2 linked regions of the Rhinolophus ferrumequinum genome follow. The protein of the gene in region 1 interacts with the protein of each later gene in a pairwise test. Links are inferred from orthologs where the notes say so. Each region holds a gene or a part of one and is shown on either strand. Other genes may lie near its edges.

Region 1 (11,310 bases):
TATAAATAATTCAAACTTATCTTGCATTAGTGATAGAAAAACTGAGTCATGAAAAGATTGTAATTCCACCCACCCCATTTCTTCATTGTGGCACTTTTCTGAGTTAGAAGCAGAATTCAGACTTTCTGATTCCCAATCCAGTGTTTAAGCCACAAGAAAGCACCGTGGCCTTTGGAGAATTCAGCGATGCCCAAACACACGAGGAAGAAAGCAGGCTGCTGTCTACAGCCCTCAGCTTCACAATGTTCTCTTCCAGCCTCCCGAAAGCAACCTCCAAGTTGGACTCAGGAGTTTCAAACATCTGAAATGCATCACCCAGCAGCCGGCATAATAGGTTCACGCTCGGTGATACATGATGTTGCTGACATTCCTCAGCCAATTAGAATTCCTTTCAGCTGCAATGGAGGTGAACACAGCTGGAAGTACCGAGTGGGGCGCATCCCCAGCAGCACTGATTGTACATTATTTAAGCCTTGTTGGAAAACAATGCAGAGATTTTTTTCCCCTTTAATCCAGAAATACAGAAACAACATTCCACTTAGTTTAAATATCTAAATGGAGTAAACTGCATCTGTAGACACAACAGTAATTCCAACATTTTAAAGAAGAAGATTTGCCTGATCCACATGGTGAGAGGCTTTTGTTTTGCCAACACAGCCCAGCAGCTCTTCTTTGACTCGAGTGGCCTTAGGGACTGGTCAACTGGAGTCAGAGTGTCGTGGACAAGAAGCCAATTTAAGTTTGGGGTTTCTCTCAATAAAATTCATCTACAACAAGCAAACCAGTAATTTAAGTTGTTCAGTGACCTCAAAACACACATTTTTTTCATTCTCTATTTGTTGAAAAATATTTAACCTCTAAAATGGTTTTGAAATTTGATCCAAATAAGAATCCTAAAAGTTAGGGTTTCTCAACTAGAAAATACCAAATTATTTCATCCATTTCGGAAGGTCTTTTGAACGTCCCTTTCAGCACTCACTAAAATGCACAAGTCAGCTATTTTAACTTTTAACCAGTGCCCACAAATGTGTTACACAACAACCAGCCTAGTTAACTGGATCATTGAGCTGATGTTGAAATATTATGGGTGAGTCTTTTATTATTATTATTCATGAGGAAATACATTTTGAAGAAGTAACTCAGCCCCCAGAACCTCCCTGGGTTACCCGATGTTCCACACTAGATAGAACCTGACAAGATGACCAAACAGAAAAAATGAAAATTTGTAAGAGAAGGAAAACCTCGAAGTCCAGACACCACTCTGATGGTCGCAAAAATAGGAGTTTTGAACTTTGACAAATAAATAGACTTGAAGTTAAAAATTGTAATTTGATAAATTAGAACTACCGTAAAAATACAGACAGAAGTAAAGTATATATTTCATTTCTCAAATCTGTTAGGTGAGTCAAGAAAAGTAAAAAGAATGAAAATGGATTTTTAAAAAAGGGTTTTCTAAAGACAACACAAATGTGATCAAATCACAAATGAAATCAATAATAGAACCTGTATTTGGCAGTATATGACTCCTTTTAAAGTATAATTGTAGTTTAAGTTTTGTAGTAGTATTTGATTGAACCCATCCCACATCCTTAGATAATTCAGCTCAAAGAAGTGTCTCGACAGTACCTCATAAACTTGAGGCCAACCCTGAGGAAAACACACAAACTCATGCGTAGCACATGAAACTCCATCTTATCTGAGTTAGTTGGTAAAAGTTTCTCCTGCCTTACATAGGGAGGTTCTTTACTAGGAGAAACTGACAAAGGCAACACTCTTAATAGATTTATCTTTTTTAAGAGAAACATAACTATTTTGAATCAATTAGGTCACCTGTTACTGATCAATGAAACTTATTAACAGTTATTACTACGACTATTTCTCTCCAAGTTGCATCATCTGAATGTCAGAACACAAGTCAGCCTCACATCATATGTGCTACAACTTTAAAAACAGCCTCCATTCCCAAATGCTACCACGGAAGGTCTCTTCCCACCCCACCCCCCACTTGGAATTAGAATTCTTCTCTCTTCACAATACATAGTCATGCTCCAAAACATATAAAAACACAAGGAGGTCTGAGAGTATTTCAAGGCATAAAAGCACAAAAAAGTTTAGTCATTTGGTGTTTCAACTAACTGGTTAACATTAGAATAAAATTTAATTTGAAGAGCACTGTGGAACACTTAGAGCTCAAAATTCCATTCTTTTACCCAAAGTGGCCTAAATAACATATCTGGGATTCATTTGTGTACCTCATAAGAACAAAGTTTTTGCAAATCCTGCTTGAATTTAAAATGAAAATGTTTCCCAAGTGTTTGATTTGCCAGTGAACTCTAAAATGTCTGCAAGATAATGCTCTTTAATAAAGATCACTCGACTTTAAACATATTATGCCCCCAAACCTACCGAAAACTTTACGAACTATTATCCTGCTAAAAAACCACAGACGTTCATTAAAATTATATTCTTTTACATATAAAGACTCAAATATTCTTTTGTTTAGGCCAGGTTTCCAAAGCAGTTCAGCATATTTTTTTTAAAAAAAAAACAACGGGGTTCCACAGGAAGGAAAAAAAAAAGAAATCATAAATGTAATCAATACACAAAAGTAATGCTTGGCATCAAACATGACTCCTGTGTTTTAACACAAATTTCTGAATATCAGGATCGAGCCCTAATAGAAAGTACAAGCACCCAACAGTAATTTGGAATAAGCCAAATTGATAGATCCTGTGAGGAGAATTAAAGAATGCTATAAAAGGAGCTGAAATCTCATTTTACATGAGGAAACTGAGACTCAGAAAGGTTATATAAGTTGTTCCATATTATGCAGTTTATGGCAGATCGGACCAAAATTGATTCTCAATCCAACGTTCTACTTACCACCAAATACAACTCTAGACCCGAAAGTTCTAAATGCTCTAACTCTAATATCCTCATATTTTGCATTGAATTACGCTGTGTGCTATTCACTAGCTAGAATAGCTCTCATTTCTACACGTCATTTGTTCAAGTATCACACGTGGAAATAGACTCTGAAACCTGTAACAACAAAAGTATACGACTTTTGAAAGATGTCCATCCAACTTGCCAGAAGTGAAGAAGATATTTCAAACTCCCCCTGGCAACATAAAGATGAAGCCAAAACCTAGCCTGTCTTCAACAAAATATCGAGCTCCAACGTTTCCACGTAAATTAACAGACAACTGGCATCACGCGTGTCGGCAGTCATCCCTAAACTCTCAGTTCTATTGCAGGGATGACCATACTCACAGATCCTCTCTTATCACCAATAACATTAGGTGGGAGAAAGGGAAAGGTGTTTCGGAAAGAACACTCATCACCTGATCCTTCACTACCAAGTGACATTAAAACTCTTTAAAGAATTTCTACATCTATGACATATAAATTCCTGAATCCAAAAATAATCTGAGAGAACAAACCAAGTCTTCCCTTTCATGAGGAAAAGCCCTATCCAGACCTGACTATTAGGATTAATACATATACACCTGACACAAACATTGTAATTAAAATCTATTCCTTCTAATACATTAATCACATTTCCACCAAAACTCACAAAATCAGTTACTTTTGCTTTTAACAAGAAAATTGAAACAAATCCGATGTCAATTATAGGTTACTTTGTAAATGAAAGCCAAATTAAAGTTGTCAGTAATTAAAGTTTTACAAGCATTGCAAAGTTAAAAATGTGGCTTTTATGTAACCATAAAAATAACAATGTATATGCATCTATAAAATGAGAAGTGTTTCCTACCAGAATAAAGGGTTATGTTTCTCTAAAAGTAAAGATCCATGGGATAGGCCTGTTACTTTCCAAAACCAGGATCTGGTTTTGGGTCTGAATCATCTGATCCGCTTATATTATCTGATCTTAACCTGATCTGACATCTTTATATATACCTAAAACAAATTATAACCCTCCTCTTGAAACAAAAGATGGATCATGCAACAACTATGGACTTTCAAAGGAAATTTTAGTTAGAAAAGAATCACCCATTGCTGTTTTCACGGATTTTACTGATGATTTAGGGCTATGCATCTGCCATGAGGTGTCCAAAACGCTCACTGTCTCTTTGAGAGGGGATCTGATTTTGGAGTCCTCACCAGACTGCCACTGAACAGAAAAATCCTGGGGAAAACCCCTTACAGGGATTAGCCTGAACTTTTTATTTCCTTTTCAGAGCTGGAAATATTCGCGTTTGGAAAGTCCCCCAGTAGAACAGTATTTGCAACACGACAATCTGGCCTCAGCTATGAATTGAAACTGGGAGACGAGCAGCCGCCCCATAATGCTGAAGAGAGAGAGAGAGAAAGGGCAGATGAGGGTGCAGACGGGTCCAGGGCCTCTGGAGCCCGCTGGCGAGGGGCACCTCCACCAGACACCGCTGGCACCTACACACATCCAAACCACCACGTCGCAGGCCCACAGCAGAGCTTCGCGCTCACCCTTGAAGGTGGCACTACAGAGCCACCTAGAAGGCACCCACATTTCATTGAGACTAAATGAGAGTGAATCAAGGAGCCTGCGCTAGAGCAGCTACCTACCATAGCCTCCAGTGTGTGGGGGGTGTGGGGAATCAACGCCCAATCCAGGCTTAAGGATGGGGGGCGGGGGGCGATGGTAAAGTGCAATGCAGAAAAGGAAAGCATGCAAGAAGCACAGTCAAGAGTAGATAGTGGCCTGGCCAGGGTGAGAAAGGAAGTGGACTAGACTGAAACGGTCTGAACCAGAGGGGAAGCGAGCAGAGACCCGGGAGAAGCTACAAGATAGGATTGAGGAATTCGAGGCTGAAGGAAAGGGTGGAGGCCCCGAGACAGAAGCAAGGGGGCGGGGCTGGGAGATAGGCGAGGGCGGGGCTAGGGAGAAAATGAGGGGCGGAGTTCAGGAGGAAAGTGAGGGGGCGAAACTAGGGGAGAAGAAAGGGGCGGGGCCAGGAGGGGAGAAGCAAGGGGGCAACAGGGTAGAGGGGAAACCAAGAGAGAGGATGGGAAAGGAGTGACAAGTGGGAGCGGGCAGGAGGGAGAAGCGAGGGGGATGGTCTGGGGAGAGACCGGGAAGCCAGAGAGGATGGGAAGGTGGTGAGAAGAGAGGGGCGGGGCCAGGAGGGAAAAGCGAGGGGGCAGGTGAGGGGAGAGGAAAGAAAGCGAGGGGAGGAGTCAGGAGGGGAGAAGCAAGGGGACACGGGGGAGGAAAAGGTGGAGAACGAGGAGGATGGAGGGGAGCAGCGAGGGGGCAGGTGGGAGGGAGGAGGGAAGCGAGAGGACGGATGGGGGGGGCTATGAAAACCGAGGGGGCGGGGCCGGGGAGAAGCGAGGGGGCGGGGCCGGAGGGAGAATCGAGGGGCACTCGCCCAGGGGGGTGATGAGGTCCTGGGACAACGGCCGGCGTGGGGGAGGGCCACTTAAGCAGGGCGCTCCGCGGGAAATTCCGGGCCGTGCGGGGTGCCAGTGGGCGCTGCGGGGGGCAGTGTGGGCCTCCCACCCGCCGTACCTGTCAGACGGATCTTGATGCTGGAGCCGTTCCTGCGCGTCCCAGGGTTCGACATCTCCCGCCAACGATCGTGCAGCCGCGGATCCAGCGCCGCCGCCCCCCGGCCCGGCCCGGCCCAGCCCCGCCGCCGCCGCCTCCTCAAGGTTACGGCTCCGGGCTGGGCGCCGGGGTCCGAGCCGGGACACAAACTCCGCAGCCCAGGCGTCCGGGCGGCGGGCGGATGGTCGAGCCGGAGGATCGGCGCTCCACCCGGCGCCCCGACCCTCGCTTGCTCCCAGACCAGTCTAGTCCGGAGCCGCCGCCTCCACCACCTCAGAGCCGGACGCTCGCCGCCCTCGCCGCTTCCGCCGCCGCCGCCGCCTCCCGGAGCCGCGCGCGCTCCCGCCGTCGTGCCGGCCCGGCCCCGCGCGCGCGCCCGAGCCGTGCGCCCCCGCGCCTGCGTGCGTGCGCGTCCCCGCGGGAGAGGCGGGGCGCGCCGCGCGGCTGCATTGCCCGCCCAGCCTCGGGCGCGCGGGGTCTGGAACCTGTGGTCTCTGCTTCCTGCACCCCCCAGGCCGGAGGCCACTTCGCTGGGATCCCGAGGAGGCGGTCGGGGCCCGGAGTCGGAGCGCGCCCCGGAACCCTGCAGCCGAGGCCGGTGCAATGGGCTGCGGGGTTGCGGAGACGAGGCCGCTGGCAGTCAGCGCCAGGGTTGCCCCGAGGCGGGCGGGCGGGACGGCGCGGCCCGCATACGGTCGCCTTCGGTTTTCGACACAGTCTGGGAGGAAACCTACTTGCAGATGCGGACGCTGAGGTTCAGAGAACCGAATTGATTTTCCAGGTTTCTGACTCAAGGCTCCGCGCTCCTGATCGTTATTGAAGTGATGGTTACATGAACCCGTGGCCTGTTACTACACCAAGCACCTTCTACAAATAGGCAATATTTTCTCTCCCTCTGTTTTGTTTTATTTTATTTTAGTTCATTTTATTTTATTTTATTTTGGGCTTTTAGATAATGCAATTTCAAGGGAGTGACTTCTCAAAGAGACAAAGTCCTCTAAATGTGTTTGGTACAAGTGCTCTGTATTGACCTGTAACAAAGTTGCCAGAATCACAGGAAATGCCACATTTGGACAAAGTGTGCAAGATTCGAAAGAAGGATAAAGTGGAGAGGGAGATGTTTGTTATTATCCAGTCTGCATAGAATTTAACCAAACAAAACAGCAGCTGTACAGCCTGTGTTTCCCTGCCTTCTGCTCACATTTCCATTCCCAGAGTTGCCGGGTAGAACTAGAAAGTTCGTGATGCTTTCTCCAACAAACCAAGTCCTCTCTTAACCTGTTATAGAGGGGAAATAATTTGCTCTTCGGAAAAGCTGGGTTAGTTTACCAAACTCATTTTTTTTTTTTTAATTGGGGAAGGCGAACAGGACTTTATTGGGGAACAGTGTGTACTTCCAGGACTTTTTTCCAAGTCAAGTTGTCCTTTCAGTCTTAGTTGTGGAGGGTGCCATTCAGCTTCAAGTTGTTGTCCTTTCAGTCTTAGTTGTGGAGGGCACAGCTCAACTCCAGGTCCAGTTGCTGTTGCTAGTTGCAGGGGGCGCAGCCCACCATCCCTTGCGAGAGTTGAGGAATCAAACTAGCAACCTTGTGGTTAAGAGGACGCACTCCAACCAACTGAACCATCCGGGAATTCAGCGGCTGCTCAGCTCAAGGTGCCGTGTTCAACCTTAGTTGCAGGGGGCAGAGCCCACCATCCCTTGCTGGACGCGAGGAATTGAACTGGCAACCTTGTGGTTGAGAGCCCACTGGCCCATGTGGGACTCGAACCGGCAGCCTTCGGAGTTAGGAGCATGGAGCTCTAACCACCTGAGCCACTGGGCTGTTCCCCAAAACTCGTTTTTTGACCAACTACCTAACTCTTTGAATGCATTTATTTGGTTTGTGTCCTAAGGAAACCATGATCTGAGCCATGGCTGCCATCCCCTGCAGCCTTGGGCCTTTTCTGAAGTCACAGTCCAAAGTAGAGCCCTCTCCCTAGAGCCCCTTGACACGTCTGCCTCTGCCTGAGCTCTGAAAGCAGTCTCCTGGGTTGGACTCCAGGGTTCTTTGAGCTTCATCAAATAGAAGGACGGGCCTATGTCATTTCTCTGCCCCACTGCAGCTCAAACTGTCAATGATTCCAGTGGAATATCCAAGAATACAAGCTATGTTTAAGTAACAGGGCAGTAGATACAGAATCCAGCTCTGTTTCTCTGAGAGTGAGTCTCGGGGTCAGAAAAAATCCATTTAGTCTCTAACGATCCAAGTAATCCCCATTCCTCTTTCATCCAGTCAGTATTTCTCCGTCTTCATTTTCCCCATACTCAATTAGTCTCTTTTTTCTAAACCAGACTAAACATCTCTATGGCCATTCTTCTGATCCCCAGCTGTTTTCCTGACCAAAAAACCTTTCATTTATTAACCTGTTTTCTTACCTGCCTAGACGTCTGGACCTTCCTTTGCTTGATTGTTTCCTCAACACCCAAGTCTGGAGGTCACTTGTGGAAGTTACTAAAAGTTATTTAGTTTACTCATTAATAAGAAATTGTCACTTAACTAGATACACCTAACAGTGTCTTTCAACACAGCCTACACAAGCAGCACCTTCCTAAATGGAAGCTAATGTTTTATTCATTAGCAAACACGGGCCACCCATTATGTGGCTAGGGGCAAGGAACACAAATAAGTCACAGCTATAGCATTTCAGAGGCTCAGCTGACTGGGTGAAACACGAAAACAACTGACAACCACACAATGATGGAAATGCGAACAGAGAGCTAGAATGTAGATTACAGGACAAGTCTGCTTGGGATCAGAGAAATGGGGGAGATCTTAGAAGAATCATGGAAGTCCTGATGTAGGGCTTAAAGGCAGTGTTTCAGTTTCTTGGGCAAAGAAGTGGGGAAGGGCATTGTAGACAGATGGAAGAGCTTGTGCAAAGGCAAGAAAATGAATGGATTTCAGTGTAAGCACGGTCACGCAGCTGCTTTATCTTCCATCTTTACACCCCACTCCATTAAAAATTGGTAGATGATGAAAGATATTTGCCCACTTAACAATCATCAGGCACGATTTTGTGCTAAGGCTGTGGGCCAGCCCGTATATTGAACTTAAGGTGTACCTCGATATCCTCTCATCCTGCATCACGTTTATCGAAAACACTATCTTCTAAAGATAGCTGGAACAAATAGTTGGGAAATGTCAAACAATTCTGAGACAGAGATGAAGTTCAGTGAGTGTCTTCAAGTATCCTTTTTGTAATGACCTTACAAAAGAGCAGTTTTGACCCTGCTTTCTATGTAGAATTTGGCAGCTGATTTTATTTCCCCCAGATGTATCACTTCCCTGAGTCAGTGCTATTGGGCATTTGAAACATTTTCCAGTGAAAAAAAAAATCTCTCTTTGGATCTGACTGCAGTCATTCTTAACCTGTTTTTTGAGTCCCAAACCTCTCGGGAGAATCTGATGGAAACAATGGACCTTTTCCCCAGAAAAACTCGTATGTGCAAATGCACACCAAATTTTGTATCTGATTTCAGTGCGTACATGATTTCCTGAAACTTGTGGCTCTCATAAGGTCTCATAGCCCCTAGGTTAAGAAGTTCTAATCTAAAGGAAATGATCAAGCAAATTACACTGGGAATGTCCTGAGTGTATTTGTTTAGGAGCCAGCACAGTTGTAGCCCCTTTTGAAAGCAACGGGTATGCTGAAAGGAGGGCAGCTGTCACCCACACAGACCCATACTACCCTGGCTCCATCATATTGCCAGAGCAAGTTAATTAAATTCTCCAAGCCTTACTTTGTTCATCCGTAAAATGGAGATAATGCCTCTCAACTCAAGTTAAAATAAATCATGGATTTAATTTAAATCTTTCGTTTAACTGAAACCATGGATTTAAATTAAACCATGAATGTAGATATAGCAGTCTATTACATCAGGCACTCAGTAAATGGTAGCTGTTAGTACATGTAAAATGTGTGTCTTTGCTCAGAAACCTGCTGGTGCTGTGACCCTGGGGAAATCTGTTTGGGGTGTTGTGCAGAAGGTCCCTGGCGGGGGGGGGGGGGGGGGGGGATGGCTGACAAATGCCTCTTGAGAGCACATTGTTGTTCCTGAGCTGGTGCCTCTGGGACCAGTGGCTAGATCACGTTAGCCTTTAAGGTCTTTTCTAGATCTAGGTCTCGTCTTCTTTTGCTTTTCACCTGAACATCAAGTTTTTCAAACCATTGGATGTACAAAATTGTGATTAATTAGCACATTTATTTATTCTTTTATGCCCAGAAGACTTCAGGATCTTCCTCTAAATTACAACCTAAACTTAATATTACCACTATGCAAGTCTTACTATACTATGACCATTGGTATGGTTTATTACTTGAGTTTTTTAATTGAAATTTTTATTGAGATAATTGTAGATTCAGGTGCAAGTTGTAAAAAATAATACAGAGGGAGCCTCGGACACTTCGCCCGGTTCCCCCCATAGTAAAAATCTGCAAAGTCGTTGTATAGTATCACAACTAGGATACAGACATTGATACAATCCAACAAAATTCAGATTTTCCCAGTTTTACTTGTACTGGTATGTGTGTTAAGTTCTATAGTCTTAACACCTGTGTAGGTTGAAGTATCCACCACCACACTCAAAATACTGAACAGTTCCAACACGATGATCCATCATGTTTATAAACACACCTTTTGCCCCACTCCCAACACCTGGCAACCACTAATCTGTCCTCCATTTCTAAAATGTTGTCAGTTAAAAAATGTTACATGGGTGGAATCATACAAAATGTAATCTTTTGGGATAGGTTTTCTCACTCAGAGTAATTCCCTGGAGATTCATCCAAGTTGTTACATGTATCAAGTTCATCAAGTTGTTATATATATATCAAATAGTTCATCATCCAAGTTGTTACATGTATCAAGTTCATCATCCAAGTTGTTACTTGCATCAAGTTCAACATCCAAGTTGTTACATGTATCGAGAGTTTGTTCCTTTTTATTACTGAGTAGTATTCCATAGTATGGATGTATCACAGTTTGCTTAACCATTCACCCTTTGAAAGACACGTGGGCTAACTCATTTTTGGCCATTACAAACAAACTACTATGAACACTCGTGTACAGGTTTTATGTGAACATAAGTTTCCCATTTCTCTGGGATAAATGCCCAAGAGTGCAACTGCTGAGTCATATTGGAAATTACATGTTTAGTTTTATAAGAAACTGCCAAACTGTTTTCCGGAGCGGCCAACACATTTTACTTTCCTACCAGCAATGTTTCTCAGCATCCTTGCCAGCATTTGGTATTGTCATTATTCTCCTTTGCCATCCTGGTAGGTGTATAGTTATTGTTTTATGGCTGTGGAATTATTTGAGGTATAGATTATTTCTTCAAATATATGCAGCCAGATAAATAGGGACAATTCTAGAAAAACAGTCTTTCTTGATGGTCTTCTTTTAAAAAACAACAACAAAAAAGTGTTTCTTTAAAGATCCTAGTTGAATCCCACAGTCTGTGTTCAAAAACAGCAAGGTCATCAGTGTAAATGAGCTGCTATTATTTTATTAAACTGCCATTATTTATTATTGCACTGCTATTATTTATTAAAAATGTAATTTTTAGAGAGTTGTTCCCACTTAGATGAGCGGTGTTTTAAACAATTGAATTGATTATCCTAATAAAAATAACTAAGACACTACTAGGAATATAATTAGCTCAACTTAAAAAAGTCAGACATGACAATTTATTGTAAATAAACAAAAGAAATGTCCA
Region 2 (11,451 bases), on another chromosome or scaffold:
TGGAAGAAGGTTGACTGGCCTAGACCGCCACGCCAGGGGGATGCCGAAGCAGCCATGTGGAGAGACAGAGGCTATGTGGAGAAGCCCGACGTCCACTTCACGTGTGTGAAGCTTTCCTGGACCCTTCAGCTCTCCTTAGCCACCAGCTAAATGCCACCAAATGGAATCACCCCAGCTGATGCCACATGGAGCAAAAGAGCCACCTAGCTGATTCCTGTCCAGAGTCCTGGTCCAGAACCAAGAGCAGGTAAGTTTTGAGCTGCTGAGTGTGTGTGTACTTCCTCACTTAGCAATAGAGAACAGATTCTCACGAAATATGCCTCCTCCTCCCCAGGGGACCACTTTGGGACAACGGGTGTGGGGGAGGAGCTGCTATTCCTTTGCCTGTTGGGAAATCTCCAAACTCTTTCCAGGTCCTTCACCACCCAGCCCTCTCCAGCCATAAGGGCAGCTACTCCCCCCACGTTAGCTCTCATCACCCCAAACTTCTTACTGGCCCCACCCTGCTATCACCTCTCCTTGCCTTTACATCCATTCTGCCTTCTTCCATGAAGGCCTTTTCCTCCTCTTCCCAGAGCAGAACTCTTCCTTCTTTAGGACCTAGCTCAGATGTTAGCCCTTCCCCAGCTGCCCCCAAGCCACCTCTGACTCCACAGGCCTTCATGGAGATGTCTGGGCCCTATTCTGAAAATAACTGTGCTGCTCTTGGTGTAGCTCGTGCTGGGCCCAGCGTCTCTCCTGGTGGAAGCTACATGCTGACATCAAGCCAAACCATCATCCCTGGGCTCAGGGACCAAGGACGATGCACACTGAGGACGGCAGCTCGTGGGCCCTGTGTCGGGGCAGGATAAAGGCAAGCCGAATTGAGAACAGCCACCGATACTGTATTTTCTCCAGGAAAAAGTTCCAGTTCAACAAATTCATGCAGCATATCGTGTCCCATACAGAAGCAGTCCCAAAGCAGGGCCAGCAGGCACCCAGGCTCCTTCTCCTTCTCGTGCCAGAAGGTTCATTGGCATTTCACAAAGCAAGTCACAACGAGCGTCTGACAGCTTCCATCGCATCGAACAATTTATGGATAACAATTATCTGTGATCACAGTAAGCTTCCTGAGTACTCCATATTTCTGACAATTGTCAAAAACAATCTCTCTTTTGCTAACCTGTCCAAATTGCTCCCACAAATATCAAAAGTGCTTTGCTTCCCCCCAGCTTTCTCTGCCAGTTTGCATGTCAACACGTAGCTATGTTATTCTGATCACTGCTGCTAAGCCAAGCAGGCGTCTGGAAAGTTTGGGGGAGGTTTTGAACTGGGTGATTTTCAGCTCCTTGTGACACTTCCTAAGTGCTGTATACCTGAGCTTTCTTCTATTGTTTCCCTCTAAAGTGTACAAGAAGTTCCCTCTCCCACCACCTCTGGGTTTTGTCAGGAAGTCAGGATTGAAAGCACATTACTTCAGAAGGGAGGGAGGAAAGGCCGCACCCCCACCCACCACCTGAAGGCACAGGAGATTTGAGGAGCCCTGGGGGTGTTTGTGTAAAAGAGGACTTCAGTGTCACAATTCTTTTCAGAGCCACCTGAATCCCCAGCTCGGTAAGCTGGTTGGGTTTTAGACATGGGTCTGTGGGTGGTGTGGCATAGCAGCAGGGACCAAGAACAGTCCGATGAAAGCGGTGTCACAGCATGACCCCGGGCACATCCTTAACCTCTCAGAGCCGCTGACGCCCCACCTGTAACTTGGGGATAACGTGCCTCCCAGAGTCGTTGTGGGGATCTAATGAGCCACCAAGGGTAGTGACCGTTCAGTAAACAGTGGAGGTGGTTGCTGGTGTGATGGAGGGAACCAGCATCCACTAGTCCCACTGTGCGCTGGCACTGTGCTGGCCTCCTCCCCATCCGCAGCTCACAGACCTGCCCAACCACCCATAGGGGACAGGGCTATGCTGCGGTGACCCTCAGAGAGTCCCTGAGCCGCCTCAGCCAGACTTCCCTGACGGCCCCCAGCCATGCTCAGGTATCGGGTGTGAGGTCAGCACCTCCTCGGTGCTTCAGCAGGTGATGAGGAAATAAACGGTGGTCCAGCCACACAGTAGAAAGTCACGGCACGAACGCGAGATGAGCTAGCAAGGCGTGGAAAGACCTGGAGGAATAGATGGAGCACAAGGGATGTTTAGGGCAGTGACACGACTCTGTGGGATGCGTGTCATTACACACTTGTCCAAACCCACAGAATGCACACCGAGAGTGAACCCTCGTGTAAACTATGGACTCTGGCTGATAACGATGTGTCCATGGAGGTTCATTAATTGTAGCAAGTGTACCATCTGGGGGGGGGGGTGTTGGTAGTGGGAAGGGGGGCAGGGGGGACGTGGGAAATTGGGGGGCAGGGGGTACGTGGGAAATCTCTGTACTTTCTGCTCAGTTTTGCTGTGAACCAAAAATTGCTCTAGGAAATAAAGTCTATTAAAATAAGAAAAAGGAGGAGGAAGAAGAGGAGAGGGAGGAGGAGAGGAGAAAAAAGTGAAGTCAGCACTTCCTCCAGGGAGCCTTCCCCGACTACAGAAGCCAGTGGCAATTTCTCCCCCTGCCAGGAACCTGCAGGCTGGCATGGCTTCTCCATGGTTATGCCATTCCTGCTCCCTACCAGGTGGCTGGTGTTTCCAGCCTCTGAACCAAATTAGCCATTAGCCCCTCCAGGGCAAGGATGGGTGTTTCCATCTCTTGCCGTGGTACCTAGGGAGGCCAGTGAGGGAGAGCACAGTAGGTGTTTTAGTGAACATTTTTCCTGCACCCTGTTGATGACTGACATTTATAAGATAGACATGGCATCAAATGACAGATATGCAGTGTTGAACAATGGACATGCTCAGCAAATGTCACTGTGTCCAGCCCTGGTGACACAGAACCCTGTGGCCTGTTGGCCAAGCCATCAGTGGCTCCTGTTGCAACTTGGCTGGGCTAAGGGTCTCCAGATAGCTGGTAAAGCATTACTTCTGAGTGTGTGAGGGTGTCTCCAAGAGAGATTAGCATTTGAGTCAGGACTGAGTAGTCGGGATGGCTCTCCCCAAAGTGGAGACATCATCCAGTCCCTGCAGGGCTGAATAGAACCAAAAAGCCAGAAGGCAAGTGTGTTCTTTGCTTGAACTGGGGGATCCATCCCCTCCCGCCCTTGGACGTCGGTGCCCCTGGGTCTCGGGCCTTCGCACTAGGACCGGGCTGCATCACCAGCTGTCCTGTGCCTCCAGCTGACAGATGGCAGATCATGGCCTTCTCGGTCTCCATGATTATATCAGCCTCTTCCTCACAATCAGTCTCATTCTGTAGCTCTCCCAATGTCCCATTGGTTATGTTTCTCTGGAGAACCCCCACTAATGACAAGTGACTAGTGTCAGTGGGTGGTTGGGGACACGGGGGAGGTCAGAACAGTGGCTGTCCCCTGTGTGGGCATTTGTCCTTCTGCCTCAGAGTCACCTTCACACCCTCAATGTTCTCTTTCCCCATAAGAAACTTCCAGATATACTTGGTGACTCATCGCAAGACCCTGAAGTAGCATTAATTTTGTGCCTTCAGAGATGCGTACGTGACCACTCAGCCTCATGGAGGGGCTCAGAGCTCCTCAGCAGGAATGCAGTGTGTGTGGGTGCACATGTGGGGGTGTGGAGATACAGGCGGGCTTGGGTGAGTGGAGCAGAGATGCCGCTGATGTGGCACCCAGCCCTGGTGACACAGAGCCGTGTGACCGCACCGAGGCCTCCGTTAGAACTCCAGCCACTTCTGTTGCAATTCCAAGAAGATGGCAGAGTGGGCTGTGAGCTCAGGTTTATGAAGGAACACAGGAAAGGAGGGGGGAGCCACTGGCAGAGGGCGGGGGAGGAAGATAGAAGGAGCATGAGTAAACCGGTATGTATTAATGTATTCATCCCCGTTAATGTATTAAAAGTAAATGGAAACGATGGCCTCCAGCCACCACCCCAGGATTTTCCTTTCTCACGCTCCCACCCGCAGGCACTAAAGCAGAACCTTGCACTTCCTCCTTCTCCCTTCAACCAGATGTGATCTTAGAATGTTCTGACTTGTCCACTCAACTCCTGGGTTTGCTAAGATGGATTCTGTTTTTTTACTTCCAGGTGAATACAGGTTCCCCGTACAGTACGTGGTGTATATTTCAAGAATCCTTACTTAGCAATTACTGTACAAAATCCCAGGCGTATTTAGATTAAACCACGTATTTTGCAAGGGTCACTTCTCACCACCATTTCCTGTGCTCCACATCTGCTCTATCTCGAGATCTCCACTGTGATTGAACTATCTTGGTGAGACTGGAACTTCCGTGGGTGAAAGGGAACGAGGCCGGGGCCCTTTCTGCATCTTGCCATGTCAATATGTTCTTTCTTTTGCTCTGATACATGAGTTCCATCGTAGTGGGGAAAGGCCCTTTGATCAGATTGTCAGAGTCCCTGGACGTGGTTGCAAAGGCTCCTAGAAATCTGGTTCCTCTCTGATTCCTGCCTTTATACGTGACTGGTTCTTTCTGGAACTCTGCAAGCCTCTCCTTATCCTTGGAGTCGGAGACTTCACAGGATAGTTTCAGGTCACAGGTATTTTCTTCTAGTATTTCTTTTATTTCTGTTCCCCTCCAGGTCCTTTGGAGCTCTGCACTCTGTGCCTCCTGGAACTGTCCTGCAAGCCTCGCATTTTCTTCCTGACGATTTTCGTGGATTTTTTCCTCCACGTTATCTTCCAGTTTTGTCATTTTCCTTGCCTGACAGTTCTTCTTCTGAATTTGCTCAGGACTTTTAAAAATTTTTAGTTCTGTGGAGTGTGTTAAATGTGTCTACGATCTGACTGAGGCTCCTGAAGCAGTCTCGTACATTTTTATTAAAGTTCATTTTTCTCTTTCCTTAGCCCTCCCCAGGAGAAATTGTTCAATCTGTCCGCTTCCCTCTGCTTATTGAGTACCCTGAAAAGGTTTGGGGAGCATCGTGGCCTCTCTGTCATGTGTGTTTAGGCTGTAAAGACAAGGCCATCGTGGTCTCCTGGGCTAAATGCTGCAGGAGGAGATTTCTCTGCTTGTAGCCTCACAGATGTGAGGACGGTGGCTGGTTCCCAGGGATGGTCTGTCGCAGAAGCCATTCAGGTAGGCCCAGTCCTCCAAGTTGAAGGAGGATGGGCCATAATGGTGGGCAGGTTGGAAATACAAGAAACTCATCTAGTTGGTTTTCAAAGAGCCTCTAAGTTCCCAATAGACAAATGAGAGAGCAGATGCTTCTCAAAAATAACAAACAGGAAATGTACAACCTCATTAGTGACCATGGAAATGAAAATTACAATAGCAGAAAGATGATTTTTCAGTTATATTAGAAAAGGGTTTTTTGTTTTTTTGTTTGTTTTGTTTTGTTTTTTAAGGTAATTCCCCATACCCCTCAGAGGTGAACTGGAAACAACTTGGAGAACCTTGCTTTGGCAAAATGTATCTTTAGATCTGAAAAAGCCTGTCAGGATCCAATGCTTCCATTTCTAGGACTTGACCTCACAAGTACACGTTTAGATCGTGGTGACTTTGTCCTGATGAAATAGTCACACATGTACACAATACACACACAGTGTAATCACAGCGACTTTTGGAAACCCTTTCTTAAATATGCAGAAACCCCAAAAAGTGAACAGTAATAGTCTTTGAGTAATTTTTTCTTGTTTCTACTTTTTGTAATTATCCAAATTTTCTGTAATGAGTATAAGGTTTGGAAAGAATTCTGTGTGACTTTGTGCAAATAACTGTCTATGTCTGAACTTCAATTTTCTCATCAATAAAAATGAGCCAAGGCCACCTGCCTCACTGGGTTGTTCGGGGTGAAATGAAAACCCTCGATGTGTGGGAGCCCCCCACACTGAACCTGGGACAGGGCAGCATGCTGGTCAGTACTGGTTTCCTTCCTTCCTCTGTGAGCCTCACCGTGTTAGATAAGAAGATAGGAGGGGGTGAGGTGGAGAATTAAATGAGGTGATTAATGTAAACTGTGCAGCTTTGATTAAAGTCCCGGGGTCATGTGTTCAGTGGATGGAACTCATCTCCAAAATCATCTGGAATCTTTGCTCCCAACATGCTGGTAACATATCTCTGGCAACCACTCTGAGCCTCAGTTTCTGCAGTGATAACACAGGACAGGTATCACAGGATGGTTATGAGGACCACACATGGAGCAGACACAGCCCAGGGGCCCCGGTGACATTGGCAAGGGCCCCACAGTCTGGGGGATAGACCTTTGCCTTCATCTCCAAACCACAGCTCTCAGACTCTGGACAAGGCCAAAGAAGAGGGTTTGCAAACTGCCTGAGCCTTGTGTCACTCCCTGGGCTAATACACAGTCCTAAACGCATCCCACAATCACCTTGTGAAAAGTGTGCTACGTTCATTTGATTTCGTGCATTTAAAGCAGCATTGGCTACATGTACACTTTTAAATGGGCCACAGTTTTCTGTCTCTGCTGTTGTATCCGGGAGCCAGCTCTCACTGGCCACGCTGGAATTCAGGCACCTGGCGCATAGTACGCGCTCAATCTGTTACTACTGCAATAGCAAGTATAATGACTCTGCAGTCGGGGGCCAGAGTGGTGGGTAGAAGGTGGCCCGAGTTTTGTCCAAGGGTCCAACCACCTGTTACAGAGACCATACGTCTCGCGAAGGAACACGAAGCCTGCTGGCCGGGTCAGGGCCGGGCCTTGGCCAGCCCAACGGGGCGGGGCCGGGCCATGATGGGGCGGGGCTGGGGTCCGAGTCCGCTCAGAAACTTTCCCTGTTGGACCCGCCCCTCCGGCGCCCTCTGCCCGGCGGCGCCCGGGAAATGTCGGCGGCAGCCTGGCGAGGCGCGCCGTGATTGGCGGAGGTGCACAGTGATTGGCAGGCGTGCTGGCCGCTCAGTGGGCAGAGCCGGCGCCGCGTACTCCGGGCCGAGTCTGTGGGCCTCACTCGCCGGCTCCAGCTACAGCCAGCGTCTCCCTCTTGTCCCGCTTCCCTTCCGCCCCGGCGAATCCTTCTCCTCCAGAGCAACTTTGCGGCGATCCGGGAGGCCCGAGGGCGTGCGGCCCGCTCAGAGGCGAGTGAGTACTTAGGGACAGGGGACGGCCGTGCGGGGGACGGGAAAGAGTCCCGGGAGCGCCGGGAGGCGCCGCCCGCCTCGGGCCTCAGTTTCCCCATATGAGCGGATGAGCAGCTCGTCCCAACGCCCCATCCCACCCTGAAAGTTCCCCAGAAGTTGGAGGGCCAGGATCCCGCCCGCTCCGCGACCTCACGGTGACCGATATCTGGATGGGGTCTTCCTCGGGGGTGAGCGCCCCCTCGGCTCCAGAGCCCTGGGGCACTCGCGCCCCGACCACTGTTAACACTCGTGAGTCTCTCCACGAAACCCCCTTGCGGGTGGAAAACAGACCCGACAGGAAGGCGGCTTGTGGCGCGAGGGGCCCGGTGTGTGGCAAGGGGCGCCCCCTCCTCATAGCAACGGTCCCGAGTTGCCCCGTCATGGCCCTTCCCCCGCGGCTCTCGGCGGGACCCAGGGCCGCCCTCAGTGCCTGCTGGAAGGCGCCTGGGCCCCCAGGTGGGGGCTGGTGGGTAATGGGGGTTCAGTCGCCCAGTGGGGACCAGGCTCGCCTGAGTGGCAGCCTCTGGATCAGGCTGCAGAGCTCGCAGCCCACTTAGAATCTGTGTGGCAGTAACCTTCCCCCTGGGGCTCCTCCTGGGGGGTGGGGGATTGGGGGTAATGGCAGCCCCTACACCCTGGCTGATGTAAACCTGGGCCCTCGGGAACGTTAATTTCTGTTTTGACAGATGGAATTTTTCTGGGGAATCTGACCCACCCCTTTTGGGCGTGATGGGGCGTCCTCCACCTATTTTTGGTAGTTGATGTTAAGAAATTCCAAGGAATTAACATTTGTGCGATATTTAATCCTTTTAGTCGCCTTTGGGGTAGGAATTGTCACCCCATTTCACATGAGGAAGATGAGGCATGCTGGGGTTTGGTGACCTGCGCAGGCAAGCAGCAGCCCCACCTCTCCTTACCTTGGACAGTGACCCTTGGCGTTCAGCCCATTTATAAAGGGCTTTCCCTTCTGCAGGGATCCATCACTGCCCTGGGCGCTGGCCGCCTGACCTCCCGGCAGCCCCGGGGGGGGGGGGGGGGGGGGGGAGCTGTGCTGGAAGCCCAGAAGCCACACTTGCCAGTGTCCCCTCCTGTGATTCTCATGAGAGACCCTCAGCGTCTGACCAGGGATTTTGATAGAGGTTCTTTTGTGCCGATGGACCTTTGACTGCACACAGAAAAGGTTGCTGGGAGACCACACCTCACCTTCCTTCCCAGGATGGAAGAGTATGTGGCCGGGCTCCCCTCTCAGGCCTCCACCGCCCCTTGCAGGCCTTACGGACTGGTCACAGAGGGGAACCCCCCAGTCCTGGCACACCGGAATGCCTGTGCTGCAGGACAGAGGACAGAGAGCAAGCCCTGGTCCCCGACGGTGTCCATAAAACACACCCTCATGGAGAAGGAATTTTATGCTTTGTACGAGTCCCTCTCCTCTCCCACGTGCCCACCTCAGAAAGTGGCACCACCACCATGGCCCCTAGCAAACCCAGCCACCCTCTTCTTCCCCACTCCTCATAGTCCGTTGGTGACGCTCCTGTCCCTCCTGGCTCCAGAGCTGTGTTCACATGCCTGCGCTGGCCAGGCCTCCCCTTTCCCTGGATGGCCACCCAGCCCCTTCCGTGGTCCCCCGTCATGTCCCCACACAGCCCTGATGGTTCTTTAACTGCCATTTCCCTGTGTACCACCATCCTGCACCTCCTTTTGGTGCTAAGCCTGCACTGGTTCAGGCCCTCGGGACCTGCCCCCGACACCACTCAGCCTCTTTTCTCATTGCTGTGTCCCCTCCCTCGAGGTCACTTCTTCGCCTCCTGCTCCTTGCTGGCCCCACTGCTGGCTCCATCTCCCTCTGCTGCCATTTCTCTGGGGCAGTCCCTGCTGGAATGCCTACACACCTCCTTTCCTCCCTGTCCACCCTCGCCTGGCTCTAACCTTCTGCTCCTGAAGGCTTAGTCAGGCCTTTCTTCCAGAATCCTTCCCCTGCCCCTTTCCCACAGCTCAGCGAGGAGGCCTCCGTTCTGTGCTTGCAGCCTCAGGTCTGTCCGGGTGTTGTTCTTCCCATCCAGACTGAGTTCTCAAAGGCTGGCCCTAGGAGTCCCCTGTGGGCAGGGAGGTCCTGCACAGAGCAGGTGCCAGGTGTACAGTGGGAGCTCGGCCACTGGGGAGACACTGGCTGGCCATGATCAATGCCTGGGGCATTCCCAACTTGACTCGCGCTTTGTTCCTGTGAACTTGGCACTTGGGGAGAGCCAGAATGTTCCTCAGTCTGGCCGTTAATACTCTGGGGCAAAAATAGGTACCTGGGAGCCTCCAAGGTCCTTGTGCCCTTGTCTTGAGGAGCAGCCCTTGGGAACCCCTGGGCCTGCTCCCTTAGGGATTGGTCACAGATGGCTTTTTAACATTTTGTTGTAATTCCAAGAACCTTGCACATTCATTATAGAAAATTAGGGAAATACATTTAGAAAAGGAATAAAATAAAACCACCCGTCCCTCTACCCAGAGATAGTCAGTATTACCATTTTGGAGCCATTTTCTTCCATCTCTTTCTGCAGTTAAACTTTGTTTTCATCCCAAATAGATTGGAGCTAATATGTCATGCTGCTTTAAACCCTGCTTACCAGTGTTACACACACAGTTTCCTTGTCTTTAAACATTCATACGCAAGCTCACGGTTAACAGCTGTATAGTGTAGCACCACCATGTGGGGGGACAGTAGCAGTCATAACTGCCCTCTCCGGACGGTCGGTGCTGGAAAGGACAGCTGTGACGGACTCCAGGAAGAGGCCTCTGCAAGAGACAGGTGTGGCGGTCAGCAGTTGCACGTGGACGTGGAGGGACAGCACGTTTTGGGAGTGAGTGGGCCAGGGACGAGGAGGTGTAGTGGGGGTCGGGTTGCAGAGGCCTGCGGGGCCCCGTCCTTGAGAGACTCCTTTTTCAGGAACTCACGGGGTTTTTATGGATTGGAATTCCAGCTCCTACACGGAGCTGTGTGGCCTTGAGCATGAATCTCTCCTTCCTGGTCCAGGGTTTCCTTGTCTGTGAAATGGAGTGAAAGATAAGCCAGCTACAACACCAGGATAATACTACCTACCTGGCAAGCCAAATGCGGAACCCCGGGAAAATCTGTGGGAAGTGCTGGGAACATGTTTGTCCTCGTTATGAGTGACCTAGGCGCTCTGGCCTAAGTCAGCCCCCATTCAGGCAAGCTGCCCTCTGCCATTCCAGGAAGGTGGCACTTGAGTCTGGGGGCAGTGGGAGCCACTGGAGATGGCAAGGTAGGATGGGGCCCCCATGGTTCGAAGTCCTGCCTTTTTTTGCCATCTCAGGTTGGCCGCTGACTTGCCTGTGCCCGGGTGGCGTATGCCAAGTCACTGCTGACTTCTTGCCCACAGCGGCTGTGTGCTCACTTTCATCTTCACGCAGCTAAAGAGGAGTTTTGCAGAAGTGGCCTGTTTGTTTGGTTCCCAGAAGCCTGGAGTTTGGAAGCAGCACCGAGCACTGCTTTGATTTCCAGGCAGTCACGTGACTGGGCTGTGCTTTTGTTTTGCACCCGGGGGGGCTCAGTCCCTCTGAGGAAGGAACGTCCAGATTGAAATCTCCAGTGTTCTTTGGGACACAGCTCAGATGTTTGAGACCCACTTGTAGCTGGCGACAGGATAGACGTAGTTGGGTACTCCTGGAACTCATGTCTGGTGCCTGGGGCCACCTCCCTCTTCCTGTGACAGCAGTCGTCAGAAACGTGTGTCAGGCACCTACCCCATCCAGCAGGCTGGGTGCGTGGAGCTGGGTGTGCGTAGATGTCTGGGACCCTCACCCCTCTCATGCCCCTCGTGGTCTCTAGTCCTCACAGTGCCCCCGAGTGTGGGGCAATTGTCCCGATTTTCAGTTGAGGAGACTGGGGTGCAGAGAGGGCCATGACCTACTCAGGACCACACAGCTGGTGGGGACAGAGCCACGGGCAGGGTCTGTCAGGTTAGGTTTGGGACCAGCCTCTCCCTGCTCTCACTCAGTGTCCCCGTCTCATTGAGGAGGAAGGACGTGGCCTTGAGTCTGGAGAGAGTCACGGGATCCTTTAGGAATCCGAGGAAGAGCCTCACAGCATCCCCACACAGGGCACACGTGGTCCCGACAATGTCGGGGGCTTGTGTCCCCCGAAGCCCAACCGCACTCAGGTTCAGCTTTCAGCCCAGAGCCTGCGACCGTGGCTGCCCTACTGCGTCAGTGGGTTGTTAAACAGCACGTACAGCCCCTTTGTTGGCGAATGGAGCCCTTTCCCCTGGTCATGAGACGGTCAGAGAACCTGCATGCTCTAGCCTGTTCCC

Evidence for each region.
Region 2: the proteins of SMURF1 (region 1) and WFS1 interact in binary tests that used the Homo sapiens proteins (3 or more experiments, as listed by UniProt). The link is inferred for Rhinolophus ferrumequinum from reciprocal best matches to the Homo sapiens genes SMURF1 and WFS1.

What each region holds. Positions count from the first base shown.
Region 1 is NC_046307.1:6,350,312-6,361,621, forward strand, and holds the start of SMURF1 (E3 ubiquitin-protein ligase SMURF1), read right to left. Parts: upstream 5,635-11,310; 5' UTR 5,568-5,634; coding exon 5,513-5,567; intron 1-5,512. UniProt on the Homo sapiens protein: E3 ubiquitin-protein ligase that acts as a negative regulator of BMP signaling pathway. Mediates ubiquitination and degradation of SMAD1 and SMAD5, 2 receptor-regulated SMADs specific for the BMP pathway.
Region 2 is NC_046288.1:84,122,656-84,134,106, forward strand, and holds the start of WFS1 (wolframin), read left to right. Parts: upstream 1-6,935; 5' UTR 6,936-7,097; intron 7,098-11,451. UniProt on the Homo sapiens protein: Participates in the regulation of cellular Ca(2+) homeostasis, at least partly, by modulating the filling state of the endoplasmic reticulum Ca(2+) store.